Linked DNA regions of Lonchura striata. The protein of the gene in region 4 purifies or fractionates together with the protein of the main gene of each other region. This does not show direct contact. Links are inferred from orthologs where the notes say so. Each region holds a gene or a part of one and is shown on either strand. Other genes may lie near its edges.

Region 1 (6,953 bases), on a different chromosome or scaffold from region 4:
GCCCCGGCTGCTCATCCCCACGGCTCAGGCCACCCTGAGCTGACAGCTCAGCTCTCCTTGGGCCACCAGCACCCCCCGCACAGACCCCACGGTCCCTGCGCCTCCCAGCAGCCAGCAGGGCACGGGGCACTGGGCACAGGACATGGCGCTGGACTGAGCCACAGGGCACAGGGAACAGGACACAGGGCTGAGACACAGGGCACAGAACACAGGGCACAGGGCACAGAGCTGAGACACAGGACCCAGGGCACAGTGTACAGGGCACAGGACCCAGGGCACGTGGCACAGGGCATAGGACACAGGACCCAGGGCACAGGGCAGGGCTGAGGCACGGGCAGACGTGGGATGGAGCATTGCCCAGCCCAGGCCTGTGCTGATGGGCCCTGTCCCTGCCAGCCCCTGTGGAGCAGGAACCCCAGTCAGCCCCGGGACCAGTACAGGGGAACTGGAGCCTGGAGCATCGCAGAGGTGCAGAGGGAGCAGAGCAAACAGATGGAACTGGGGCTTAGCAAAGGGATGGGAAAACCCAGGAGATGAGTCCAATCTGCTGAAAAGGCAGGAGCGGGTGGGGACAAGCCGAGGCTTTCAGGAGCAGACATTCCCTCAGGCATGGGCAACCACCTGCCTTCTGCAGACACGGGCCACTTGAAGATGTGAACTGCTTTTCAGGATGGATTTCAGCTCAGATCCTGAACTTTCTCTGCTCCATCTGCAGCCCTTCCATCTGAGGCTGCACTTCGTGAGTGCCTCAAACCGGCACCGCTGCCAAGAGGAGCTGCCACCTCCTTCACTACCTCCTCCTCCTCTTCCTCCCCCTCCTTTTCGTGCTGCTGCTCCCAGCCCCAGACCCTGGTACCTGTGGTGCCCATGGCAGTGGGGTGGAGCAGGATGGCTGTGAAGGGCCCATCCCACCCAAACCATTCCGTGACACCAGACAGTGCCAGGCCCATGTGGGGCAGCAGGAGGGTCCCCACAGCAGACCCCCAATGTCCACCCAGGACGCGGGGCTGGAGAGCAGCACCCCCAGAACAGAGCTGAGGGGGGGCCAAGGCGCAGAGCTGAGCTTCAGTCATTGCCCGAGCAAAATGGGCAGAGAGGAGGCCCGGGGGCTCTCCAGGGCTTTGTGGCTCCTCAGAGCGCTGAGACACGGAGGTGTTGGATCAGTCTTGCAATAAAAACCGGGGCTTTCTTTCTGTGGGGACATGTCTGTTGTGAGAGCTGAGAGCACAGTTGGGGACCCGGCTGGGGACCCTGCTCCTCTCCCCCAGACTAAGGGGAGTAGGAAACTCCGTCCGTCTCCGGGAGCTCGGGCTGCTGTCCTCCGGTGCACCCAGCAGAGCTGCGGCTCCTGTTCCGAACACATCGGCGCTTTGCTGCGCGGCAGCACTGCCTGCGGGAGAGAGGTGTTCACGTCGCCCTGCAGTGGCAGGGACAGCTCTCTCCGGGCGGCGGCTCAGGCAGCAGCTTTCCCCGGAATAGCTGCGGCTCTCTAATCTCGCTCTGCAGCACGGGGGTGCCGCTGGTGCCACCCAGACCCGCAGCAGCGCTGTGCGGCGCGCCCCGGCTCCCGCCGCTCGGCGGCTGCCGCGCTCGCTGCGGCTCCGGCGGGTCCCACGCGGAGCCCACGGCCCCGCGCTGTGCCGGGACGCGGCGCGGCTGCCGGCCCCGCAGCGTGACCCGCCGGGACCGCGGCTCTCTGCCACCCCCGCGATGCCGCAGGCCAGCGCGTGGATGTTGGGGGCAGCTGGGACCTGTCCCACTCCAGGTGTCCGCCTGACTCTCCAGGGCCCCGGGACCCTCTCCAGCGCTGCCTCCGCGCGAGCCAGGGACACCACAGGGTGGACACCCATGTCTAGGGTGGTGTCCCGGTGTCCCCAGTGCCCCACTGGGGCAGAATCCCTCTGTGACCCCTCTCTGGCCACAGCCCCAGAGCAGCTGGACTCTGAATATGTGGGCTCTGGGAAAGAGGCTGAAAATGGAACAAGGTGGATTAAACCCCCCTGGGCACGGTGGAGGTCCTGACCAGAGCTCAGGGCCAGCAATCCCAGCAAGGCCTGAGGGACAGGAGGGGGGCTCAGCCCAGTCATGGGGGCAGAAACGCGGAGAAACACTGAGGAAAGGTGAAATGGTGAATGAAGAGTAACCAGAATGAGGGGACCATGAACGCTGGCAGAAACACAGTGGGGCAGCCCTTCTCATGAAAATATTTTCCCCAATATCCAAAACCTCCCCTGGCACAACTTGAAGCTGTTTCCACTTGCCCTGTCCCTGTTCCCTGGCGCAAAGCCCGACCCCCCCGGCTGTCCCCTCCTGTCAGGAGCTGTGCAGAGCCACAAGGTCCCCCCTGATCCCCCTTTGCTCCAGGCTGAGGCCCTGCCCAGCTCCCTCAGCCCCTCCTGGGGTTCCAGCCCCTTCCCAGCTCCAGTCCCTGGACACACTCCAGCCCCTCAGGGTGTTTCTCGGGTCGCAGCAGTGCCAGCCCAGGGGCCGGGCACTGCCGGGTTCCGCTGTGCCCTGGGAGGGCAGAGCCACCGTCACAGCACGGCAGAACTGCAGGAAGGGGCTGGGACACCTTTGGGTGCCACTGCGGGGGTCCCCACCCTGCTGACCACCCCTCTGCCGCCCACAGAGCCCGGGCAGGGCAGGGCAGGGCGTTCCCACCCCCGGGACTGGCCATGGCTTCAGCTCACCGCTCCTTCAGGAGAGCATCAAAACTCCAAGGGACCCAGAGCAGCCCTGGGCACGGCAACACAAACGCTGCCTGGCTCCGGGCTGCAGAGCTGAGGAGCACAGTCCGCTCCGCTTTCCTGGGAACTGAAGGTGACTGGGAAGAGCTTTCAGGGGAATATTAAACAGCTTCTTAATCGAGACAGGGAGGATGGAAAAGTCTCACTCTCTGGGAGCTGAAGGCAGACAAATCCACAGTGACAACCAGACACTGGGATTATCTGGGAGGGGATGAACCGCTGGATAAACCCTCAAATCTGAGCAGACACAACCCCTGCAGCAGTGGATTCAGGCTCATTCCACTGTCGGGAAGGGTAAATCCCGGTTCTGTGCCTGCACGGATCAGCCACGGTTCAGATCTGCTGCTGTGCCACATCCACTGCCCCGACAGCGCTGGGATCTGCTGGGCAGCTCTGGCCCAGATGGGCTTTGCCTCTCTCAGGGATCCTGCCCTGCAGCCCCTCCTCGGGCTTTGCCTCTCTCAGGGATCCTACCCTGCAGCCCCTCCTCGGGCTTTGCCTCTCTGGGGGATCCTGCCCTGCAGCCCCTCCTCGGGCTTTGCCTCTCTTGGGGATCTTCCCCTGCAGCCCCTCCTCGGGCTTTGCCTCTCTCGGGGATCCTGCCCTGCAGCCCCTCCTTCCCACCCAGAATCCCAGCACGGAAACCGTGACTCCTCTCCCGGAGGCTCTCAACCCCACGTACCCTCAGCAGGAAGGGGCTGCCCTGGCACGCTGATGCCTCCCGGTTTTATCCTGATTTCACCCTGATTTTTTCCCAGGACAAATAATATGGAGGATAAAATCCTCGTGATCTTATCCCAGGAAATGTCAGTGCCACACCAGTGAGAGACCCATAGAGGGGACATTCTGGGAACAGGGGACATTGTTGTCCAGAATTTTCCTTCCATCCACAATGGTCCTGTATGGGAGAATCATTTTGTTCCCATCTCCCCCATCCCTGTTGCAGTATTTCCGTGGATGGACCTCTTCACCTAAAAGTAAGACTTGTTGACATAAAACCAAGAACTTTTCACTTAAAATTAAGAATCTTTCGCCTAAAATGAATAATTTCTAGCAAAAAAATAAGACATTTTCACCTAAAATTAACAATTTTTAACCTAAAATTAAGAATGTTTCACCTAATATAAAAGATTTTAATAAGAGCCTGCAGGTAGCTTTGGTCACTCCTGGAGATTCACAGCTCCAGAATCACTGAGGGTAGAACTCTCAGAGATGCCTGAGCTTGCCCACCCTCAGCATGGCCCTGGCCACCACTGCCCTTGTCCCCAAGTGACACACGCACAGGAATTTAAACCAGGAAGTATCTAGAGTATCTGGGAGTGACTGGAGCCATACTGGGGGTGACTGCTAGCAACTGGAACTACACTGGGGACAAATGGCATCACACTGGGGTTAACTGGGTTAATTAGAATTACACCAGGAGTGACTGAACCCATGCTGGCAGCAACTGGGATGGTATTTGGAGCAGCTGGGCCCATGCTGGGTAAAACTGTGACCACACTGGAACTGTGTGGGAACACCCTGCAGGTTACTGCAATAACGCCGGGAGTGTCGGAGGGGCTGGGATCGCACCGAGAATGCCGGTGCGCCGGCAGTAACCGGGAGTACACCGGGCGTGCCTGGCGCCGGGACGGGACTACAGCTCCCGGCGTGCTCCGCGCGCCGCCCCACCCCGCCACGGCTCCTGCCGCCAGGACTACACGTCCCATGGCCCCCCGCGCCTGGCCGGAAGCGGCGCGATGGCGGCCCGAGCCCGGCCCGGTGCGGCCGCGGCCCCGGTTCCCCGCGGCCCCGCGGGCTGAGGCCGCGCCCGCCCGGTGCCCTCTCCCGGTGCGACCCCCGCGCCTGCCACCGCCATGGCGCTCATCGAGGGCGTCGGCGATGAGGTGACGGTGCTGTTCGCGCTGCTGCTGGCGGCCGCCGTGCTGGGGCTCGCCTGGGCCTCCACGCGCGCCCCCGAGCCCGCGGCGCCGGCGGCTGAGGCGGCCCCGAGCACGGCCCCCGCCGAGCGCAAGGCCTCGGCCCCGGCCCCGGCCCCGAGCCCGGCCCCGGCCCCGGCCCCGGCCGAAGCAGCGGCGGCCTCCGATGAGGCGGCGGGGCCGCGGCACCGGAGCGCTCCCGCGGGCACCGCCGAGGGCCCCGCCGAGCCCACGCTGGTGCTGCGGCTCAAGTTCCTGAACGACACGGAGCGCTTGGCGCGGGTGCGCCCCGGGGACACCGTCGGTACGCTCAAGAGGTGAGGGCGTGCGGGCCGGGGCGGCCGGTCCCGGGCCCCGCCGGGCGTCCCTGCCCTCCCCGCAGCCCCTGGCGAGGACAGCGCTGGCCCGGGACAAGCGGCCCGTGCCCGGGCGGCGGGGCCGTGGGACAGCCCGTGCTGGCAGGGACGCCTGGGCTGGCTGATGGGCACACGCACGCCCGGGTGTGCGGGCAGGGCAGGGCTGGAGGACCGTGGTGGGTGCGTTGGCAGGGGGTGAACAGAGGGACTGTCCTGGCAGGTGGCAGCTGGGCGGGCACAAGCGTGCGGGGTCAGGCGTGCGGGGCAGGGTGGGGGCTCAGGGTGGGCACGTTCATAGGATGTGGATGACACTTGGGGTGGCTGACCGGGACACACAGGCTCAGCTGGGCACGGGTGGCGTGAGGGCTCACAGTGGGCACAGGATGGGGGTCAGTCCTGTCAGCAGTGTGACTGCTGTCCCCGTCTCCTCCAGGACCTACTTCCCGGGGCAGGAGCAGCAGGTGCGGTTGATCTACCAGGGGCAGCTGCTGCGTGACGATGCCCAGAGCCTGGCAGGGCTGCACCTGGGCCACCTGAGCGTCCTGCACTGCCACCTGTCCCCACCCAGCGCGGCCCCCACGGCTCCCGGCACCCCCGGTCCCCGCAGCCCCGCGCCCGCCGCACTGGGCGTGGGCAGCCTGGCGCTGCCCCTCTTCGTGCTGCTGCTGGCCCTGCTCTGGTACCTGCAGCTGCAGCACCGACACGTCTTCACCGCCACCGCCACCACCTGCCTGGCCGGCCTCACCCTGCTTGTCACCTTCGTGGCCTTCGCCATGTACCGCAGATAGCGCGGCCCGGACCAGCACTGGGGACACGTGGGACCTGGAGCCGCACCTGGGAACCTCAGAGCCTGCCCGAGCCACCAGGGACGTGGAGGACTCTGCATCCAGCCCCCTCAGCGTATCGGGGGCACGTGGGGCCTGCCCACTGCGGCTGAAGAGGAGCGCTGGGCCCTGGACTGTGTCCCCCGGGGGCCCCGGAGTCCCGAGCAGGCACCCACACCTTGTCTGCACACAGGGGCTGTGTGGGAGTGGGGGCTCAGCTACCTCGGGGGCTCCCAGTGCCTCCGTCCCTGCTGGCAGCATCCCCCCATGCACTTGGCGTGCAGAAGCCCCTCGGGTGCGGTCCTGCCCGAGCTGCTGGCCGTGCCCGCGGAGCTTTTCCTGGGAATACGGCCTGGCCCCTCCCTGGGGCTGCTCCCGGGGGTTCCGGTGCCCGGGGAGGGACATGAACCCTGGGGTGCCGAGGGTCCTGGTGCCGGCGGGATACGCTCCTAAGGTGCCTGTACCGGGGGAGAATTCGTGCCCCCAAGCGGTCCCGGTGCCGGGGGTGGCTGCACTCCCACTGTCCCGGGGGTTCCCATGCTGTGTTGGGGGGTCCCACCCCCCACCGCCGTTCCGATTAAAGCGGAAAGACTGTGACCGGCCGTGGCGTCCTGGCTGTGCTGCGCCGCGGGTCGGGGATGCGGCGGCAGCGGCAGCGGCGGCGTGAGACCGGGAACGGGGCGGGGGCGGGGCAACGGGAGGGGCGGGGCCTGGCTCCTCCCGCCACGCGCTCCGCAGGGCCGTAGCGCGCCTGCGCCGGTGGCTCCGCCCCGCTCTCAGCGGAGCTCTCGCTGATTGGCGGAGGTGCGGCGCTGATTTGCATGCGGCGCGCGCCGGCCCCGCCCCGGAAGCGCCGCGCGCGGGGCGGGGCCGCGGGAAGATGGCGGCGGGGCTGCGCTCCCGGGCCGTGCCCGTGCCCCGGCGGCGCTGAGCGGCGGCGGTGGCGGCGGGAGCGAGCGGCCGCCAGCGCCATGTACGGCCGGGCCGCGTGGGGTGGGCAGGGAGTGCCGCCGGGGGGACCCGGGCGGGCTTGGTGCCGGTGGAGGTCGGGGTATGCCCGGGAGAGGGGCGGGGGACACCGGGCAGGCGGGAGGTCCCGGCACCGCG
Region 2 (7,031 bases), on a different chromosome or scaffold from region 4:
ACTATCTCATGGGTACTTGGATATTTGGAAAGTTGATTTTTTTTTTTAAGTATTAAAATACGAAAGAGCTAAATGGTATTTTTGATCTTGAGGAGAGATAGGAAGCAGTTACTGGGCTGCTACTGAGAGCACAAGTGGCAGTTCTAAAAGAAAAGGATTGAACAGCCATTAAACCTGTCAATAAGAGCTCTTCAGAACAGCTCTGACTGTTCAGGGAGGAAATGTGCCTGCTCCTGGTATGTTCTCCCCCCTCCCTCTTTGCAAAGTTGCTTTTCATCCTGTGTAGTTGCAGCAGAACTGGTGCACAGGGGAGGAAGTGGTGCAAAGGAGAAGCCACCTCCTGCAGCAGCTGCTCAAACTAACCAGGATTGTGCCTCCTTAAACATTATTTTTAAGCAATTCCACTGCTGCAGTTCCACCAGGATCAGGGCTGGGAAGCTGCTGCTTGTTTCTGACAGACTGGGATTTAGAACAGGGAGGATTTTGTTCAAGGCTGGAAGTTTTCAGTGTGACTTTTTGAAATGCTTGAAAGAAGTAATGTTTATTTAATGGGAAGAAGAGAAGCACGGTCGTCTTGCTTGTGATGCAGCTGTCTCTTTCCATTTACAAAATATCACTAAAATTCAGGCAAAAAATGCAGAGCAGGAACAAGAACTTCTCAGGCAGTTGTACAGTCAGAGTTTCAAAAATTAAATCAGATAATGAAGGGGAAAGGAATCACAGCTAAGCCATGGGAAGAATTGAAACTGAAAATAAGCTCCGCTTGGTGTGGTTTTCTGAGAAGAAATTGCACAGCTGGAGAAAAAGAGAGACAGCTTTGGGGAAAGTGTTGGATTCCATCACAGAAAGGGATCCCTGTGTTCCAAAGGCCATGCTTGTGGCCCACTGTAGGAGAAGGTCCAGTGTCTGAGTTCCAAAAGGCATCCCTTCACTGCAGTGCTTTTTCTCCTGAGTCAGCTGGCTGCCGACACCTGCCTGAATCATATTCTTCTTTTTAAAGGGAGCAGAGAGCCATAGACCTGTACAAGCAATTAAAAACACGACCTCCAGGTATGGAAGAAGATGATTTAAAGACTTTCACACTTTTACCCCATGATTAATTGTTCTGAACTGAAACCCAGGCAATACTGTTAGGATTTACTAATGTGGTGGTTGCTGGCCCTTGCAGATCATGCCTACAGTGACAGCACAGACATGGTGAAGATCATTGTGCAGACAGTGCAGAGCCAGGACCGAGTCCTCAAGGAGCTCTTTGGCCACCTCAGGTACTTTATGCAGACAAAAAACCCCAAACAAATCCAACTTGCAGCATTTGTAGCTTTGTCGTCAGAAAGGATAGGGAAAACCATGGAGGTCAGAACCCAAAAGGCTCCATTCACATTTCTCATAGCTTTAATTCTGCTCCTTTGTGTTGAGTTTCCACTTCATTTTTAAAAACATTGTTAGCATCCAAGAGTTCACTTTAAAATGAGGCAAATTCTGCCAGTTGGAAGTTGGAATACAAATCTTCAAAGGAAAAAAAAAATTAAAATTCCTGCAAAATTCAAAGGAAAAAAAGTTCCTTCAAATTCAAAGGAAAAAAAAAAAAAAGCAGTAGTGTTACAGAGAAGATAACGCAGTGATTTGTACATGAATTTTTCAAGTATCTTGGATCCCAAGATCCTTTTGGTTTTGTTAAAATGTGCTGGGAAGTGATTTTGTGTCTGCTTTTCATTCCAGCAAGCTCTTGGGCTGCAAGCAGAAGATCATTGACCTGCTCCCCGAGATTGAGGTGGCTCTGAATAACATCAAGGAAGCTGACAACTCAGTGATGCAGATGCAGGGAAAAAGACAAAGGGAGATCTGGCATTTGCTGAAAATTGCTTGTGTGAGTAGCTGTTGGGTTGTTTGCACTTCTTGCAGTGCCTGAGCCGGGAAGTAAACTCAGCAAAAAGGGGTAACTGCCACACCATGGTTGGATTTTTTTTTTCCTGTAGAGAAGGGCAGTCTGAGATGGTAAAAGCAGAAGTTAAATAGGTGCTTTCCTGGTTAGTTTGAAGTGTTTAAGAGTTCCCTTTTTTTGCATTAATTACAGTGCCTGAAGCCACCTCGTGGTTCCCACATCTCTGTGTGTGTTACCAGCAGTGCTCAGGTGCAATCCCAAATCTTCCCTATATATCATTGAAGCCTAAATTCTTCTGAATGTCTTTCTTGCAGACTCAGAGCTCCTCCCGATCCCTGGTGAGCTCTAGCCTGGAAGGGACAGCCTCAAGTCCAGCAGCCACATGGCTCCCCCAGAGCTCCTCAGGGAACACTGCTCCTCACCCTCTGTCCTCGCTGGCAGCTCCTGAAGATGGGTATGAGCTGCTGCTGGGGAGCAGCCACTGCAGGGAACTCAGCATCTCAGGGGCTTTGTCCTTCCCACAGTGGTTTCAGGAGTGTGTATGTCACTAACGCTCTAAAAAATCAGGGATTTGGTTGAACTCTCTATTCAGAAATCTCTGCTGTTTCTGAGCTAGTTCCACATGGTACATGCCCTGCTGAAGGACTGTGCATCCGTTTATTGCATGTCATGTTGCTCTTCCTTGGGGCTGGATCTGGTTCTTAAGGCTCCTCTCCCTCAGTCTATGCTGAGTTCTGTGGCGCTGAGGGGTTTTGCTCTTTGCTTCATTAACAATTCTAATTATGTTCTATCAGTGTGAAACCATTCTCCTTTGTCCTGCCACCTCCAGGCAGGTTTTTATGTCACCTACCACTGCACAAACTACAAATAACTTTTTTGGGTTGTTTGTTTTCCTTTTTCTTTTCTTTTTTTTTTTTTTTTTTTTTTTTTCCATCAGTGCAGCACCTTTTGATGGGGGTGTTACTTTTGGTGCTGCTTGAAATCCATCACCTTGGGGCTTTTTTCCCTTCCTGCAGGGAAAATTTTGCTGACGTGATCCGGGAGAATTTGAATTACCTCGAGCTCTTCAGCAGCATTCTGCAGGAGGTGAGGCAGGAGCAGAACAGCATGATGGTAAGTGCTGGGGCATCTGCCAGGACTTGGCTCTCAGGGGACACCCAGGGGTGCCCTGGGCATGTGGAGAAATCCTTGAATAGGAAAAGGTACCAGGTTGCTCCAAGCCCCATCCAGCCTGGCTTTGGACACTTCCAGGGATTCAGGGAGAGCCACAGGTTCTCTGGCACCCTGTGCCAGTGTGCATGGATACATGTCTCTTCCCAAAATCCCACCTAGCCCTGCCCTCTGGCAGTGTGAAGCCATTCCCCCTTGTCCTGGCACTCCAGGCCCTTGGAAATAGTCTCTTCTTTCCTGTAGCCCCTTCAGGCACTGCAAGGCCACAGTGAGGTCACCCTGGAACTTCTCCAGGCTGAGCCATCCCAGCTCTCTCTTTGCTCAGAGGAGAGAGGAGGCACTCATCCTTTGGGAATCCCGAGATCTCCCAAACTAGAGTGGGCTCACAGGGCTCCTGTGCTGTGCTGCATTGTGCTGAGAGCATCCTTTCTCACGGCAGTCACTGATTTTTCGCCAAGCAAGACACACATCCAGTATCCAGACCCTGCGCTCAGTCGTGTTTTTGCTCCTCTTCGCAGAGTTTCGACTGGAGCTGGCTGAAGTAACCCCAGGAGCTGCGGTGCTGCATCACCCAAGTGCCTTCTGTGTGCTGAGGGCCGCCTTCCCTGTGGGACATGGCGGTGTTTTATGGCCATCGCCGGTGTTTTATGGCCATCGCCGGTGTTTTATGGCCATCCCTGGTGTTTTATGGCCATCACCAGTGTGTTACTGCTATCACCGTGTCACCCACCGGCTGTCCCCCAGGCAGCGGCCTGGGCCCGGCCCGTGGAGCCTCCTGAGGGCGGGGGGCGGTGTGACCCATGAATGTATAGTGCGTGTATATAGAATGAATAAACTCGGAGCTGACAGGCCGAGGCCTACTCGCCATCGCGCCGTTGCCTGGCAACTGGGGAGGGGGAGGGGGGGGGTCGGTGGCGTCATCACCCCGCGCCGGCCCGGCGCGCCCAGAGTGCCGCGCGCCAGCGCGCGTGCGCGGAGGGGCTGGGAGCGCGGCCTCGGCGGCACGTGGGGCACGGGGTGAAGGTACGGGATAACGGTATAACGGGGTAAAGGTACGGGATAACGGGGAACGGGTAAAGGTACGGAATAACGGGGTGAAGGTACGGGATAACGGGGAACGGGTAAAGGTACGGGATAACGGGGAGCGGGTAAAGGTACGGGATAACGGGGAACGGGTAAAGGTACGGAATAACGGGGTGAAGGTACGGGATAACGGGGAACGGGTAAAGGTACGGGATAACGGGGAACGGGGCAACGGGATCGGGGTAAAGAAACGGGACAGGTATAGGGTAACGGGGAGCGGGTAAAGGCCCGGGACAGGTACGGGGGAATGGGATAACAGGGAACGGGACAGGTACGGGATAACGGGGAGCGGGGGAACGGGGTAAAGGAACAGGGCAGATACGGGACAGCAGGGATAGGGGTAAATGTACGGGACAGGGATCGGGATAAAGGAACAGGACAGGGATTGGGCTACAGGAACAGGTACGGGACAGGGATCGGGGTAAAAGATTGCGATAAAAGCAGGACAGGGGTTGGGATAAAGGAAACGGATTGGGACGAAGGAACGGGACAGAGATTAGGGTAAAGGGTAGGGACAGGGATTGGGATTGAGATGATAGGGACAGGAACAGGACAGGGACTGGGATAAAGGATTGGGAGGGCTGTGGGACAGGGATGGGACAAGAATTGGGGTAAAGGAACGGGTCTGAGACAGGGATTGGGGTCGTTATGGAGTAGGGGCAGGTACAGGGTAGGGATACGGGCGGGATGGAGAGCACGGGGACGGGGCCGGGCGGTGCCGGGGCAGTCCCCGCGGGCCCTGTCCCGTCCCTGTCCCGTGTGTGCGGGCGTGTCCCGGTGCCGGGCGGTGCCGGGCCCGGCGCTGACGCCGCTCCGTGCCGGGCAGGGCCCGCGGAGCCCGGCGCCGGGAGGGGATGCGAGCATGGCCATGGCCCAGGCCGGGGCGGCGGCCGCGGCTGCCAGCGGGCTCCTCGTCTTCCTGCTCTACTCCGCCATCCACCGCGTCGAGGAGGGACACCTGGCCGTGTACTACAGGTACGGAGCCCTTCCGGAGCTCGGCGCCCCGGGTCGCTCTGCCCTGGGCTCCCTCCGGTTCTCCCCCAGGGTTTGCACCCGTGCTGCTTCTGCTCCCTTCGCCCCGTGCAGAGCCCGCGTGTGCTGGGCTGGCTGAGCCCTCGGCTGCTTCTCCTGCCCCTCCTTCCTCCCTGCCCTCTCACACTGATCTCAGAGCTTCTCCGCGTCCCTCCTCGCATCTGTTGATCTCCCTCTGTGCCAGCAAGAGTTGTCACCTTTGTCCCAAGCAGTCGCCCAGCCAGAGCTCCTGCTGTGTCGCTGCTTTGGAATGCTTTCCCTGCCCTTCCTGCTCAGCACCGTGGATGTTTTCCTTTGACCACAATGGTGTTCAGCATTAACACCCCAGGGGGCTTTTCTCTGGGCGAGGGGCTGTGCCGAAATCCAAGCTGGCAGCATCACATCCATGGCTGGATTTTTCCATGGTTACCACTGAACTATTTAGAGAGGAGAAGTCTGTGTTCTTGCAGCTCTGTGCAGTGTTGCAATGTTGGGAGGGTTTGGCAATAGCTGCCTGCTCCAAGAGTTAATGGCTCGCAGGCTTTACGCAAAGTTGCAGCAGGCAAAGATCAGGTGCACTCAGCCCTTTTTCTGTGGAATTGCTGGCGAATTTAGGGCACTGATGCAACTCTCTGTGACCCCTGGCAGTTCGAGCTGTCCCTGCATGTTCTCAAAGGCAGCCCTTGCTGTTTGCACCTTCCTGAGCCTGTTTTCCTCCCTCTCCTCAGGGGTGGAGCGTTGCTGACCAGCCCGAGCGGCCCTGGCTACCACATCATGCTCCCGTTCATCACCACCTTCAAATCCGTGCAGGTCGGTGCCCTCTCCCTGCCCTGGGGAGCCACACTTGTCCCCTTGGAAAGCTCTCCCCACCGTGTGTGTGTGTGACACCGCTGGGAGTGGCAGTGTCCTGCTCAGGCAGGACAGTCCATGTCTGTGGCTGTCACTGTTCCCCTGCAGCACCGCATTCCAGAGCAGGGAAACAGGCACAGCTGCCTGTGCATCCCCCAAAAGGCAGGGGAGGAGAAGCTTTGCCTTCTGCCCACACCTGCAGGCATCACAGGGGTGGCAAAGGACATGCTTTTGGCTCTGTGGTGCCACTGTGGGAGTCTGGGCCTTCCTGGAGTCAGGTTTGTGAACAGTGCCTGTGTTTGTGTTGCAGACCACGCTGCAGACTGATGAAGTGAAGAATGTGCCTTGTGGGACAAGGTATGGCTTCCACTTGTATTTCTTCTAGATGCACTCCTTGGGGTCCTTTGCAGTGCTGGGACACAGGGATCGGGAAGGAAAGGCACCTGCCATAGAATTAATCCCAGATGTACACACATTTATCCCTCTGTAACAACAGGAGGGAGCACTGACTCTTGCTGGAGCTGTTCAGAGCATGTTTGCATTTATTGTGATGTTATCTTGAATTTTTCTGGGCTTCTCCCCTCAGTTCTCTGACACTCCCTTACTTGTGCTTTGCTCTGCCCTCAGACTGGTCATTTCCACTCTGAGTCCTGTGGCTGATACAGGTGCTGACCCCAGCAGCAGGCAGAAGGAAACAGGGAGTGGGAATCCTCCTGATGGGAAGGAGTTCATTTCCAAATGAAATTCCTGCTGGATAGTCAGGCTGATTCTTCTGTCAGCACAGACCTGCTGGAGTTGTAGCAAGCAGGAGGAGAGGGCTGGTTGAGTTGGGTTACAGATCCTGTTGTGCTGGTTCGTCCACAAGTTAAAGTGATGACTCTTCAGGGTAAAAAAAAACCCAGTGATTCTCCTTGTCTTTTATGTTCAGGGTCCTCAACAAAATTTCTGTTCAAAAAATTAAATCAGTGGTGGCACACAGTGACCACATTGAAATTAAAAGGTGAATTTTAGTGGCAATGTTAATAAAACAGAGTTA
Region 3 (7,582 bases), about 9.1 Mb from region 4:
CACTTGTGCCAGGATGGAGGTGTGTGGGCATAGAGGAAAACCTCTGCTGAGGCTGACCTCTTTGTTGCACACCCAGCGCCGACCCCGGGCTCGGCACTGTTCTTTCCTTATGGCTAGATAGAATTTGATTGCAAAATGAATATTTTAATTATTTTTTATTTTAATTTGGCTGGACAAATTTTCATTTATAGCACAGCCGTCCGCGCTCTGACCCCGCCGCCGCCGCCCCTCAGGGCCGGGCGGGCCCGCGCTGCGGACGGATCCCGCGCGGGGCACGGCGGCCCCGACGCCGCCGCACCTGATTGGCTGCGGCGCGCCTGGCCCCACATCAGCCCAGAGCCCGCGCTCCTCGCGGCTGGCCCGGCGGGGGAAGAGCCGGCGCCAGCACCGACCAATCGGCGCAGAGGTTTCTTAAGCCCCTCTGCCTGCCGACCAATGAGCGGCCGGAGCAGCGGGAGGTGTGCCCAATCGGAGGAGCGCTCTCATGGCGCTGGGCGGTTGGGGCCGGGGTCGCTGCGCGGCTCCCCTCAGCGCTGAGGCGGTGCCGGAATTGCCCGTTTTAGGATAAAAAACTCAGTCCCTGAATCAATTGGGCTGGGAAAGACGTCTGAGGTCATCGATTCCAACCTCTGACTCAACACCACCCTGTCAATCACACCACGGCAGCCTCGTGCAACCTTTCCTGAACCCCTCCGGGGCCGCTCATTCCCCCACCTTCCCCAGCCGCTGTTCCAATGTCTCAAACATCCTTTCTGCCAAGTGTTTCCTCCTAAAAGCAGCAGCAAAAACGCCGCTTTCTCCTACCCAAAGCAAATGAGCAGCTAAATCACCTGGAAAGGGACACAAAAATCCTCTCGCTGAGCTGAAAAAGGTGTCATTTAGAAAGGACTGACCCAGTTACAGCTCAGGGAGGAAGGGGGATGATGGATTTGCTGTTAAAACTGGGCTTTTAGGAAAAATATCTAAAGATTTTGAATTTTTTTTTTTTTTTAAGTCCTGCATACAGAACATCAGCCAGCTGGTTAATGAGTCTGGATAAGAATAAGAAATTCCTGGCTCATTTGATGTTCATGATCTCTGCAAGCTCTATATGGTGTCAGGAGTACAAGTAACCAGAATCAAAATCAAAGCTGAAAATTGTGTAATTTAGAAAGGACTGACCCGGTTACAGCTCGGGCAGGAAGGGGGATGATGGATTTGCTCTTAAAACTGGGCTTTTAGGAAACACTGATAGCACTTTTCCCCTTATTAGCAGCAGTTTTACTATCATGTCCTTCAAATGGGATTATGCATCCATGTTCCCTGCCTTAATTCCAGTTTTCCCTTATCCACACCAGTTTTTCCCTCTTTCAAAAGTGATTTTTAAAAAATCAAGTAAAAGAAGGAAAATTAAACAAACCTATAATGAGAAAATAGGCATTAACAGGACTGCAGTGACCATTGCAATTAGTTTGGAGACTAGATTAGGATAGCCAGAGGAAAATAGCCTCAATAAGATTAACTGGAATTGTCCATTTCCAAATCTTTTTAAGCCTTGCCTTATGCCTTCTAATAGTAATAAAAGGGTAGAAATGAAATAATGTTTTCAGATTAGATTAGGGGCTGTTCAAAAGATGCTTCAGAGCTGGTGGGCAGCAATAATGCTGCTGATGGCACTACCCTGCTGTGGGCTCGGAGGTAACCTGGAGTCACCTGCAAGACTAAACTGACTGATGAAATGCCAGAATCTATCAGATAAAAGTTTTGTAATAATACCTCAGGGCAATCTCTGCAATATGCCAAGGCCTGACCATGATCCCTTGAACCAACTGGATTAAGATATCTAAAGATTTTTGATTTTTTTTTTAAATCCTGCATACAGAGCATCAGCCAGCTGGTTAATGAGTCTGGATAAGAATAAGAAATTCCTGGCTCATTTGATGTTCATGATCTCTGCAAGCTCTATATGGTGTCAGAAGTACAAGTAACCAGAATCAAAATCAAAGGTGTTTGGAGAAAGGGAAAAATAAATAAAAGGGAAAGGGAAAAGGAAAAGGGAAAAGGAAAAAGGAAAATGAAAAAGGAAAAAGGGAAAACGGAAAAAGGAAAAGGGAAAAAGGAAAAGGGAAAAAAAGAAAAGAAACATTGACACATTGCAAGAAAAACCTCATGGAGAGGACATTAAGGAAAAAAGGCCTAAAATGACAAATGGTCATAAAGAGATCAGCTATGACAGGTAGAGGCTGTGAAATGAAGCAAAGACAGAAATAGAAGGGTCAGTGAGGTTAAGAACAGCTGGCTTTCTTTAAGGCCACACTTTTTTGAGTATAATGATGAAAAATAAAAAGAGATCTGCTAAAACTCATACCCATAGAAGGCCCCAATTTTTTCTAAACACTACTCAAATTGTTGTTAAATCCCTTTCTCTTGAGTAAGACAACTAACCACAGTTTTTAGTGCAGATGAAGAAATAGAGAAGCACACTCATGTCTCCTCTGTACAGTGAGACCCTCACCAGAGGACCTTTCTAGAAACCTTCCAGCTCTCCTCATTAAGAAGTTGAGTGTGGCTGAGATTTGTGTTTCATGCCATGATGCAATGGATTATTTGAGCAGACACTGTTTGGTTTATTTAAAAGAGCAGGGTGAAATACCATGTAATTTCATAAGAGCTGGGTATTTGGAGAGATAAACACACCTGAAATGGCCTCGTTGAGACAGGTCAGGATATCAATGAAATACCAGGAAATTTCCCAAATTGTCCTGACCTCATGCAAAGGGCAGCCACTACCACAGGCCTCTGGAACTCTGTGAAGAACAGATGGGAAGAAACAACAGACACTTTGGAGAAAGGATTTTGAAGGGATTCCACCATGGACATTCACACAGAGAAATAGGAATGTTCCCAAATTTGCACAAATAACCCGTTGAACCATAAGCAGCACAAGGGAAGGCCATGCCAACTTGAAGCAAATCAAAGTATTATACCAGGCACAGAAAGCAACACTCATGACAGCTAATTATCATCAGGTTTTTTTTGTATCATGAGACTCTTAACATGCAAGAAATGCCCCAGAAGCTGACATTTAGTGTGTGCTCAGAGCACAATGTGGAATTGAGGGCAGATAACCAGAAACCTCATAAGAACCTCCAAAATACCTCCAAAAATCAGCTACCAACCTGTTCTGGAAGAGCATGAGGCTTCAGACTGTACACAGGTATCAACAGATCAGCAAAACTTAAATGAAAGCAGCCTTTATTAATATATAAAGCATCTATATCCTGCTGAAATCGAATCCTAAGTACCTTCCTGGATGTGGGCCCATTACTTTCCAGGGCCAAATAGAAAACAATGCTGAGATGTCTGGGCTGTTCTGCTAAATGTGAAAATAAGCGCTTTGGCCAGAATAAAACTGGGGAAAAGGCCAGAGCAGAGATGTCTATATTCTAAATGTCTACTCAGCTACCAGTCCTAGGCTGAGCCACACGGCTTAAACATCAAGAACATGGAGTATAAAATCAGCTGCCACAGTCTCTCCTCCTAAGAGACGGTCCAAACTCCAAATCATCTTTGTGGCCTCTGCTGGACCCTGTCCAGCAGCTCCTTATCTCTCCCACACTCAGCAGCCCCGAGCTGGGCATGATGCCTTGAGAAGGCTGATCTAGAACAGAGACTAGACGGAGTTACAGAACAAAGCAGGGATTTATTAAAAGGATCTCCTCCATGGATCCACCTTGGGCAGCACAACTGCACCCAAAAATGGTCATAAAAAAGACGACTGGTGGGTCAGGGGGAGTTTCACACTTTTATAAGTTCTGCTCCATTTGCAACCTTGGGCAGCACAAGACCCCACCAGGGCTACACCCAAAAATGGTCACAATAAAGACGAGTGGTCAGAGGGGGTCTCACACTTTTGTAAATTCTGCTCCATTTGCGTGTTGGAGTTAATCATCCAGTTGCAGCGTGTTGCCTTCAGGGGAAGGCAAGGTGACCTTGTTGCAATCGGGCCAACAACACACGCTAATACCAATGCGGTGGACGGTCGAAAGGCCTTTATTATCTCATCTCATGGGTTTAAATAGTCTTGGGGGACTTTGCTACGTCAGGGGGGGTTAGTAGGGTCTCTAGGGTTAGTAAGGAGTGGAAAACTACTGGGTTAGGTGTGGTTACGTGTTGCAGGGTGAGGGGGGAAGAGTTTTTCTTTCCATCACATCTCGAAATCTTCCGTTCGCCTGTCCCTGTCTATTACAGTAGAGTTAGCTCATGAAGTCCCATCCTTCTCGTTTTTCTCTCTTCAGTCCATGTTGCTTATGCTCTTGGGGCTGAGATTTGGATCATTTATCGTTGCTAGCTAGAGAAGGAATTGCTTTATCTGCAGAACAGAGCTTACAAACACGAAGCTCAGAACTTCAAAGCAGCACAGAACCTGAAGACGAGCAGCGCTGCACCCCGACGCCCAGGCACAGCGCTGCGGACGCGGCTCGACCAGCGGAGCAGAGCCCCGTCCCGCGTTTCCCGGGGCCCCGTCTCCCGTCACTTCCTCGCCGCGCCGCCCCCCGGACCCGCCCGCGCGGGGCCGCTGCGGCCGGCGGGCGGCGCTGCTGCGGCGGGGGGCGGCCATGGCGGCGGCGCGGCGGGTGCAGCTCCGAGCGCTGCTGCTGCTGCTGCTGCTGCTGCTGCTGCTGGGCGCGGCGGGGCCCGGCGCCCGGGCGGCGCGGAGCCGCGGGGCCGACCGCCAGAACAGCCTGCGCCGCGCCGCCAGCGGCCTCTACCAGGGCGTCAGCGGCCTCTTCGGCGAGGACAACGTGCGGGCCCTGCAGAAGGTGAGCTTGCTGCTCGCCTCTCTCCTCCCCGGCCGGCTTGCCGAGCGTCTCCTCCCTCCCCAGCGCTGCTGCGGCGCTGGAGCGGCCGCGGCCTCGTCCCGGCGCGCAGCGCTGCTGCGGGCAGGGAAGCGGGAGGCCAGGCGTGCAGCAAACGGGGGGAAATTGCGGCTAAACGCTGAAGTGTAGGTGGTGCGAGTGGGGAGACGCGCAGGGCCGCCCGCTGGCCGGCTGAAATCCCGGCTGTCTGCAGCATCCTGTGCTGGGGGCATCGGAGCTCGCAGGGAGGCAGGCGAGGGAGGCCAGGCGTGCAGCGAGCTGCGGGGAAATAGCGGCTAAACGCTCGAATGTAGGGGGTGTGAGGTGGGGAGACGGGCAGGCCGGCTGAAATCCCGGCTGTCTGCAGCATCCTGTGCTCGTGGGGCATGGGAGCCGTGCGTTCCTCCGTGCCTGCTTTCCTCAGGCAGCAATAAATGCTGTTGGATTGACCTCTGAGTACACCTGAGACTGCTGGGGACATCTCTCAGTTGCTCGATAAAACTAATTCTTTGGTTTGCTTTACTAGTTGTTGGTCATAGTGTTTTCTCTAATCTTCAAAACGATAGTAAAGCCAATAAAGTGCATTTTTAAATCTTGCCAACGTATACATTTACATTCCAAAATACCTACAGTAATGATAATTGCAGCGCATAAATTCATGATTCACGGAGCTAAAAAAATTTCAGATTTACCATTTTTACTGTGGGGACTACGAAATAATCTGCAATTCTTGCTTAATTAATTATAATTCTACTCATGGCAAATAAGTCTCAAAGTATTATTTAGGAATTGAGGATTTTTTTAATTTTCAATTTTATTTCTCAGTTTTTCTCAAGGTTGACAGAGAGGTTTGTGAATGGGGTGGATGTATTAATGGACACATTCTGGAGAATATGGACTGATTTGTTAGATGTTCTTGGAATTGATGGTAAGTGTGATGCCTGTTCACCCTTGAACTGTCTCAGCCTGTATCAGTGTTTACAAGCGAATGGGAAAACAGTTACATTTTATCATGCTGCTTAAACATCCATCAGTGGTGTCTCTGCTTCACATGGCTTTGATTTTCCTATTAGTATCTTCAAACAAGAAGACTGAACCCCACCATTCCATTTCTGTATGTGTATCTACAGGATGTGTAAAGAATGAATTACCAGTCACGGCTGGTTCCTTGGTGTCATCATTAAATGGATTCACACAGCCAGGAACAGTGCAGGGAAATCAATGAGGACCAGAGAAAAGAAAAATGCAGTTGAGAGCCTTTAGAATGTAGCTTTGACAAAGCAGGATCTGCAGCCCCAGTATGAATTTTGACCTCAGGCTCTACAGTGGTTTGTCTTTAAAGAGCCTTTAGCACCTTTGCTGGATTGAATTCAGTTGAATCGCTGGAGCTGAGCCAGTGGTTTGAAGAAGGTTCATCCAGAACTAGGTGAACCAGCTTTACCCTTTACTTTAGAAAACACAGCCGTGACCCCACTGCTGTGGGGATTTGACCCTTTGGAGCTGTGCTCATGTGTTTGCCCCGTGCCACCTTCGGCCCACGCTCATTAACACCCTGCACATTTCCCTTTGTTTTTCAGCCTCCAACTTGACTCATTATTTCAGCCCAGCAGCGATTGCCAACAACCCGACCCGCGCCCTCCTGCTGATCGGTGCCATTTTACTGGCCTACTGGTTTTTATCTCTTTTCCTTGGATTCTTCTTCTATCTGCTGCACATGCTGTTTGGCCGCTTCTTCTGGATCGCCAGGGTGGCCCTGTTCACCCTGTCCTGTGTGTACATCCTGCAGAAGTACGAGGGCGACCCGGAGCACGCCGTGCTGCCCCTCTGCTTCGTCGTGGCCGTCTACTTCATGACGGGGCCGGTTGGGTTTTATTGGAGAAGAAACAGCAACAGCAGCCTGGAGGAGAAGATGGATCACCTGGATAGTCAGATCAGACTGCTGAACATCCGCCTTTCCAGGGTGATCGAGAACCTGGACAGGGGCAGCGAGCAGTGAACCCGCCCCTGCTGACCACTCTGCACCAGCTCTGGAAAAATCCTAAGCACTGTCTCATCCGAAGTTACAAAGCAACAAAACATCACATGGTAAAAAGTGTGCGAAGTTATAACTTTTCATCATGTCTAAGACTTAATTTATCTAGGTTAAACACTCAGCCGTTAGACTTCTAGGAGAAAGAAAAAACCATTTACAAAATTCAGCTGTATATTCAGAGTTTTATCCAGTACTAGAATTTTCTCAGTAGATAAACGCTTACTTTTACAAGCATTTAAAAACATCTTTTGTAAAGTTTTTATAAAAGCAAATTGAGTAGTCTTTCAGATATTGAAATTGAGTTAAACATATGCAAATTTGACACTAACAGTTAAAAAGAAAAAAAAAAATCTCAAGCTACCAAGCACTTCCATTGAGAAGTAACTGCTGTGGGTCCATATTTTTTCTTCAGAGTTGTGAATGTTTTTGTGTTTTTGTTGGCTTATTCCATTGCCTTGAAGTTGCCTTTCATAGAGTATCAGATGAGGAATTTTCTGGTATCCAGGCCAAAAAATTCACACCATAGCTTTTAACAGGAGGTGGGGAATGAGGGAGAAGGAAGATCTGAAGTCCTTAAATGCCAGTCCAATGTGAGGAAGCACACGTGTGGCATTTTATCATCGCGTTTCATCCCGAGAACTTTAATTTGTTAGTGTCTGGAAGGAAATCTGCTTTAATAAATTGGCACAGAAGGAAGATGTAGTGTGACAAA
Region 4 (7,064 bases):
CGCCAGTAGCACAGGAAGTCACTTAATTAGTCTCTCAGGCCACTGAGCTTTTAGAACAGATGCTTTGCCAATTAATTTTCCCTCATCTGCAGCAACTCTTGTTGTTAGGTTTTCTTTCAGTTTCCTTCACCCATCACAACCACCTGCTGTTTGCAGAGCAAAATCATCATTCTTTTTTCTTCTTCTTTTTCTTCTTCACAGCTCCTGGCAGCACAGAGTTCTCTCTGTGATGGCTGTTCTGTCTCTCCTGCTGGCCATTTGCAGACACCAACCGAGGCAAATCTTTGCAGATCTGGTCACACTCTGCTGGGTCTATTATTTTCTCTTGAATATTATTGTCTCTCCTCATTTTCTTCTTCTTCTTCTTCTTCTTCTTTTTCTGATTGGGTTCCACATAACTCTGACTCTGATCCTGGCTGGAGCCCTGGGACCATGCAGGGAAAGCACTTTGCTTCAGAATATCTGCAGCTGACACGGCAGCCTCCTGGCACCTTTGCCATTCTTGCTCACTGTCTGTGTCACTGGAAAGGCAACAAGAGGGAAGGAATTTGTATTGTATTTTTTCCTTGAATTCACCCAGAACTTGAACAGCAGAATAATCTGAGATGAGAACACACGATAAACACCCAGTGGCTCTGAGACTCCCACACCTACAGTTTGCATTTAACCAGTCTGAAGGCCAGTGTGCTCTTTACACACACTAGGAGGAGAAAGAAAATCTCCCACAAACGTTTCTCATTCTCCAGCACTAAAAAAGTAACAAAATTCTGGTCTAGTCAAATATAGGAGTCATAAATGCACACTTCTCAAGCTCTTCAGCTTCCTATTCCCTTGTGGGAGTCTCAGCTGCCTCTGAAATGTGGGATGCAACAGTACCTGAGGAGCAAAGCAGCTGCCAGCACCTCACCTGGAGCTAACTGGCCTCCTCCTCCTTGCTGCAGGGCAAGGCTCCGGCTTCCCACAGTCTCCAGGGACAGAGGAAGAAAAGAGGCGGAAACCTGAAGTATGGAAAGAGGGGTTTTAGGCAAAATATAAAACAGAGGTGGAATCAATCAACTGCTCTTTTCCTGGAAGCCTCAGTGCTGTTTCTGTATTTCCACAGTGCTTGACAGCAAATATTTGGGACTGTGTGGGAGGACCTGGGGCACAGAGGTCAGAACTGAAAAGGAGCAGCTCTCATAGACACCACCAGAAGTTCTTTCAGTTCAGAGCAAATGTTTATGAGACACTGGGATGCACTGTCCTGGTGATGGACAGGATCCACCCCACCTGTCAGCAGCCAACAGTCACAAAACAGATACAAAGGCTGAGACTGGAACTCACCATCATCTTCAGAGTCAGACTGTGCCAACCAAGTCTGTGATGGTCCTGATGAATCCTTCAAGACAGTGATGACACTAAACAGAAAATCCCAGTCAGATCTCAGACAGGTTTGTGCACACTGAGCTACAGGTGGGTATTTCTGGGAAAGAAGATTAGAGGGAGATGTTGCACAGATCCTTTTTTGTTAGTGAGGCTGCCTCAGCTCCCTGTTTCCAGAGCAGACCAGGCCTTCTCTCCTCAGCAATGAGGAAGAGAAGAACAGTTTGAAAACAGTGTTTCTGAAGCCAGCTCTGAACAGCAGGAATTCCAGTTCCTCAGGGCCATCCTTGCCTAATAGACAGAGGGGCAGCCCAGTATCATTCTGCCAGCACAGCCCTGATTCAGGGACTGGTGGAGGTTGTGAGAACAAGATTCTCTCGCCAGCCTTTACAGGATGGACGTCTCTTTTTCTCCGCACAAGATGTTCACCACAGAGGCAAATGAAGACACCCAGTGCTGCACAGAGAGTTTTGACTAGATGGGCACAACACATCAGCAAGGTTAGGTCACAGAATACTGGAAGTTTGTACTTAATACAGGCATGAAGGAGACAAGATGTTGACTTTCCCGTGTTTAGCACACAAACACGTCAGTGTAACTGACCCACAGAACACAGGTTTCAAGCCTTGCACACCAGTACCTGTCTAGCATGGTTCCCAGTTTCTTTGCAACGTGTGCTCTGAACTCTGGAGTCGTCTGGAGCTCATTGTCACCCTCCTCACGGCCGATTGCCTCACGCCCGTTTGAAATAAGAACAAGGATTATCTCTTTCGAGGCCAATAATATCTGTCCCTCTCACCCAAAGCCTTAAAAACATATTATCCTGTACAAATTTAAGCATAATTTCAGATTATGGTTGGACTAATTCCCCAAACAGAAACTTCCCCTTTCAGTACGAAGTATCATAAGGTACAAAGCAGAAGCAGCAAAAATATTGCACATAAATTTTTTCTTAATGGAAACATTAAGTCTGAAACCAGAAGCAAAAATACCTCAAGCTTGGCTGATCTTTAGGCTGCAACCGATCCTTTCTAAAGCCCCCTGAAAGGAAAGCAGCAAAGCACACTTAGAGACTTGCCAGAACTTCCTTAACCCCCGTCAGGCACATGTCAGAGCATAAAAACAATGCCTGAAAGACAGCCCTGGGCCGCCTTCGGGGGAGAACAGTTATGAGGGGAAAGGGGAACTCCCCTCAGGCCAGGACTGCCGGGAGGGGGCTCTGGGCCGGGCTGGAGGCCGGACATGGCTCGGGAGGGTCGGGCAGAGCCCCCTCGCTTCTGACACCGGCAGCGCGGCACAGAGGAATCCCCACGGGTCAGAAGTTGCGGAGGGGGCCGGACCGGAGCGGCGGGGCGGGGCGGGGAAGAGAGAGGAGGGCACGCCGCAGCGCGGGGAGCAGAGCCCAGTCTGTCCCCCGCCCTCTCACCGCCGCACGGCTCCGCCCGCGCCGCCGCCAGCGCGGTGCAGTCCCAGGCAGCCTCCCGGAACCGCGCGGCCGCTTCGCCGCCGCTGTCCGAGTCCGAGCCGGTGTCGCTGTCCGGGCCCGAGACGCCCCTGGGCGCCGCCATCTTGCAGGCGCGGGGCACGCTGGGCGCTGTGGTACGGCCGCAGCGCGTGCCGGGAGCTGTAGTCCGGCCGCAGCGCATGCCGGGAGCTGTAGTCCAACACCGTCCCTCGTACCCGACTTTCATAAACTGATCCTTGTTTTAATCAGCTTTTGGAGGATCCGGTTCATGTCTGTGGGGCCCTGGTAACGTTCTAATCAGTTACTACACTGACATGAAAGTTTTTGCTGGGGCATAGAAGCTGTGCCAAGCTGTGCTGGTGGAAAACGAGAGAGTGGCTTTGCTGGAGATTTTCACCGCTCTGCAGGTAGGAAGGACTGCTTTGTGTGCTCCTCATGCCATCAGCGCTGTCACGTTAAGTGCTACATTTTCAAGTCATCTTGAAATTTTCTGGTGTGAGACAATGTGTTTGGTGACTCCAGGTGGGCTTCTGGATAACCATTTTGCTGTGGGTTTTGCCAAGCCTGTGTGCAGGAAAGCAGCAGAAAGATTTCGTATAACTGTTTTTATCCTGGTGGACACTTCCCGGCTTGCACCTTCCAACCTCCACGCCAGAACTCTGCACTCTCAGGCTGCCTGGCAGCAGACAGGTCACTGCCAATATCCTTGGGCTCTTTCTGATGGGTTCCCTTGGCACTAACTTCCCTTAATTTCTTCACTATTCCCTAATAAAACTCACCTGCTATAGTGGAATACCTTGGTTTAGGATTTACCCGTTCTCCACCATGTAAAGAACAAGCAATTTTGGGCTGTTTTGTACCTTGGAGTTCCCAGGACTGGTGGGGTGCCCTCAGAGCTGGGACAAACCCTCCAGAAATGCCTTCTCGGGCAGGTCACCTCCTCTCCCTCGCTTTGGTCCCTCTGGTTCTTTGGTTTCTCACAACTGTATACATACCTTTATCAATCTCTAAATACCTTTATCCAGCTCTCTGTTTCCGTTTCCATCCTGGAGATTCTCAGCTCAGATTCTTTCCATCCTGAATCCGCTTCTCGGCTCAGACTCTTAGCACTCTACACTCCTAAGTCAACACTTCGTTTCCCTCAAACTTACGTCCTTCCCTTTCCGTCCTTTTCTTTCCTCCCTTCCTGCTTGGGCCGAGCTTTCTCGGCGCGCTCCTGGCAGTGCCCGGCGCCGCCGTTCGGAGCGGCCCCGCCCCTCCCCGGGCAGCAGAGCCGCCCACGCCCGCAGGACCGGGGGTCGCGGCGGGGCCGAGCGCGGGCGGGGCTGCCCGAGGTAACGGGGCCGGGGGCCGGGGGCCGCGAGGGGCGGCGGGGCGGGGGCCGGGCCCTTCCGCCGGCCGCGCTTCCGGGCGGTCAGGTGACGGGCCCGGCGGAGGGCGGCTCGGTTCGGCTCGGCTCGGCGCGGCTCGGCGCGGCTCGGCTCGGCTCGGCTCGGCGCGGCGCGGCGCGGCGGGAGCCGCCGGTGAGCAGGGCCGGGCAGGGCCGGGCCGGGCGCGGTGGGGGGAGCCGGGGCCGCGGCTCCGGGGCCGGGCCGGGCCGGGCGCTGCGAGGCCGGAGCCGTCCCCGCCGCGGAGCGCCGGCCTCGCCCGGTGCCCTGGAAGCGCGGCCGGCGGGCCCGGGCGAGTCCCGAGCTCCGCGGCTTTGCGGGGCTCCGCAGGTGCCGGCGCCGAGCGGGGCCCGACCCGCCGCCCGCAGCGAGGGATGGCTCGGGCACGGCTCGGGCACGGCTCGGGCACGGCTCGGGTACGGCTCGGGTACGGCTCGGGGCACGGCTCGGGCACGGCTCGGGGCACGGCTCGGGCACGGCTCGGCCACGGCTCGGGCACGGCTCGGGCACGGCTCGGGTACGGCTCGGGGTGTCAGCTGCTGCGGCGGGACACCGGATATATTTTGAGAATTGCTCGTACATTAAGACTCGCTTGTTACTTCTTAAATCACGTCTGTTGTATGTAAAAACTGCTGTGTTTGATATTTTTACGTTTTGCTGCTAACCTGGGTTAGCCAAGCACGTCTCTCACACGGCACTGCAAACCAGGAAAACGCTGGGGCAGCATTACCCAACTGGTTATATTCCTTTTTTTTTTTTTTTTTTCCCCCTTTGGACTTTGTGAGGTAAGAGGATAAAATCTTTGTTGAAAGATTTTTCTTGGAGTCTATATTAAACCTTTATGGAACGGATAACAAAAAAGCAGTTACTTGAATCATCCGAGGGTTTTTGCTGTTTGCATTTACAAGGTACATGGACTCCTCGGTGTTCCCAAAAGAGCCCTTCAGCCTGGCAGCACTGACTGTAACACAGATGTGCATTGCAGAATCCCAGTTCATGAAACGAGGCCAGCAAGGGCACGTTGGACTGGAAGGCAAATGGCTGCTTTTGCAAGAGCAAGTGATCACAAGTGAATTCATGTTTTGGGACCACTTTGTGGTGATATTAAAATGCAGGTGCCCAATACGGGTTGCCGGAAGTGGAGAGATGAAACTTGAGAAATGTTTCCAAGGAGTTAAAATGTAACATGTTTGGGGGATAGAAAAGAGTAAAAAGGTAGTGAGAGATAAATATGTATTTAATGATTAACAACAGGACACTCATTCGTTTGTTAAAAATATCTAAAATGACTGTCAAGAAGTCAGTGCACTTTCTTCTAGGCACTGTCAGCAATTTTCAGCTAAGGTTACCTGGTTGTACTTGAAGCCCAGGCAATTGTAATATGTTAAGTTTCAGATTGTTGTTAAATTTATGAGTGGGCATATTTATATAAACTCTCAGTAGTAGTTTTAGATTTAAATTTATTTTCTAATTTGAATTTTCCTTTTGTAAAATTTTTCAGTGTCAGAAAATGACACTATTACCTTAGGGATAAGAAAAATACACTGACAAATCTTTTTGATTTAAACTGCAAAAGGTTCAGGAACTAAATCAGAACTTGTTTCATAAACAAACTAGATTTAGATTATTTAAATTTCAGTAATCTTAGTTAAAATAAAATTTATTAGGAAAGAAATATGGAAAAGGGTCTTTCCTGTGGAATTGACATCCAACAGTGCTGCTCTTTTTATTTCATTGTTATGGCAAAGAGGAACAAACTTTGGGTTTTGTTAATAAACTAGCCAGACTTCTATATTCTCACCAGAACTTTTTCTCATTTTTTCATGAAAAAAAATAAATACTTGAGACATCCTCATGTCATGCTGTGAACACGTATTCCAGGACTGTTTTCTATAGGTGAAATTAGCTTCTAATTTATAGTCCCTCTTTGCCTTTCTCAGGTTGAATTAACATTGAATTAATGCTGTTTCCAGCAGGTTTTTTTGTGTGTACCTTAACTTATGGTGAAAACTCCCCTAGCCTGTCTTGAAGTGTTTTTCGTGTGTTTTGAGGGCTAGGCAGTGTACTTTGGCAAATGCAGTCATTTGCTGAGTTCAGAAGTGTGATCTTTGACAGTAGCCACTCAGCTCGTGCTTTCCTGGTGTACAGTAGATTTACAGATGAAGTTTTTAAAATATTAGGGGAAAATTTCTTTCTGACTGAGATCCATACCCAGCCCATGGACATGCCCAGTCCCCTGCACTTACTCCTGTCGTGGACCTCCTGTGCTCTCAGCTGTCACCACACGTTCAGGTCCTTCTGGAGTTCCACCCTCTCATGTACCTCCACTTCCATGTCTTCATGCTCCACCAGGTTTCTGTATTTATTTAGGAAGCCTACTTGCAGATGAGTTCCTTGTTTCTTAACTGTTCCTCTGCTGCCACTCTTGATTCTTGGTAGTAAACGTCAGTCATTTTTCAGAAGAACCTGTTGGGGTATAACATAGGGATTGTGGTTTAAAGGAAATAAACAGCTAATCTAGATGGCTTTTATGAAACAAAGATAATGTTTTCCTGTAAATATGTAGAGAGCAAAGAAGTAAGAAAGAGAAAAGGCAAGATCTCAGAATGCCTGCAGTTAGGTATCAGCTGATTTTTATATCCTTTCCCTTGTTTTGTTTGTTGCTCATCATGCCTCCAGGGTTGATTTGGAGACCTGATCTGATGGATAAGTTTGTAGCAAACCTGCAAACCTTGACTGGCATCCCTCAATTGTGTTTACTTAACCCCAGAAGTCATATTCTATCTCAGTGTACTCAGTCTTCCTCCCAAACTCTAAAGCAAATTGAGAATGGGGTTCATTTGGCCTGT

What was found. The genes of interacting proteins can lie anywhere in the genome.
Region 1: the proteins of RNF185 (region 4) and TMUB1 purify together in Homo sapiens (affinity purification with mass spectrometry; 5 studies listed by BioGRID and IntAct, with this or other methods). This does not show direct contact. The link is inferred for Lonchura striata from reciprocal best matches to the Homo sapiens genes RNF185 and TMUB1.
Region 2: the proteins of RNF185 (region 4) and ERLIN1 purify together in Homo sapiens (affinity purification with mass spectrometry; 3 studies listed by BioGRID and IntAct, with this or other methods). This does not show direct contact. The link is inferred for Lonchura striata from reciprocal best matches to the Homo sapiens genes RNF185 and ERLIN1.
Region 3: the proteins of RNF185 (region 4) and BRI3BP purify together in Homo sapiens (affinity purification with mass spectrometry; 3 studies listed by BioGRID and IntAct, with this or other methods). This does not show direct contact. The link is inferred for Lonchura striata from reciprocal best matches to the Homo sapiens genes RNF185 and BRI3BP.

The regions. Positions count from the first base shown.
Region 1 is NC_134603.1:156,868,775-156,875,727, reverse strand, and holds TMUB1 (transmembrane and ubiquitin-like domain-containing protein 1), read left to right. Parts: upstream 1-4,557; 5' UTR 4,558-4,603; coding exon 4,604-4,983; intron 4,984-5,455; coding exon 5,456-5,810; 3' UTR 5,811-6,443; downstream 6,444-6,953. UniProt on the Homo sapiens protein: Involved in sterol-regulated ubiquitination and degradation of HMG-CoA reductase HMGCR. Involved in positive regulation of AMPA-selective glutamate receptor GRIA2 recycling to the cell surface.
Region 2 is NC_134609.1:37,328,514-37,335,544, forward strand, and holds the start of ERLIN1 (erlin-1), read left to right. Parts: upstream 1-4,021; 5' UTR 4,022-4,075; intron 4,076-4,961; 5' UTR 4,962-4,997; coding exon 4,998-5,110; intron 5,111-5,874; coding exon 5,875-5,956; intron 5,957-6,305; coding exon 6,306-6,352; intron 6,353-7,031. Other genes in the region: CHUK (inhibitor of nuclear factor kappa-B kinase subunit alpha), read left to right, coding at 1,001-1,050, 1,169-1,265, 1,720-1,867, 2,197-2,336, 2,899-3,214. UniProt on the Homo sapiens protein: Component of the ERLIN1/ERLIN2 complex which mediates the endoplasmic reticulum-associated degradation (ERAD) of inositol 1,4,5-trisphosphate receptors (IP3Rs).
Region 3 is NC_134620.1:13,693,604-13,701,185, reverse strand, and holds the start of BRI3BP (BRI3-binding protein), read left to right. Parts: upstream 1-4,572; 5' UTR 4,573-4,598; coding exon 4,599-4,802; intron 4,803-5,663; coding exon 5,664-5,766; intron 5,767-6,415; coding exon 6,416-6,834; 3' UTR 6,835-7,582. UniProt on the Homo sapiens protein: Involved in tumorigenesis and may function by stabilizing p53/TP53.
Region 4 is NC_134620.1:4,592,524-4,599,587, reverse strand, and holds the start of RNF185 (E3 ubiquitin-protein ligase RNF185), read left to right. Parts: upstream 1-4,054; 5' UTR 4,055-4,161; intron 4,162-4,261; exon of another isoform or gene 4,262-4,350; intron 4,351-7,064. Other genes in the region: C18H12orf43 (protein CUSTOS), read right to left, coding at 167-521, 908-998, 1,324-1,397, 2,003-2,102, 2,356-2,403, 2,789-3,053. UniProt on the Homo sapiens protein: E3 ubiquitin-protein ligase that regulates selective mitochondrial autophagy by mediating 'Lys-63'-linked polyubiquitination of BNIP1.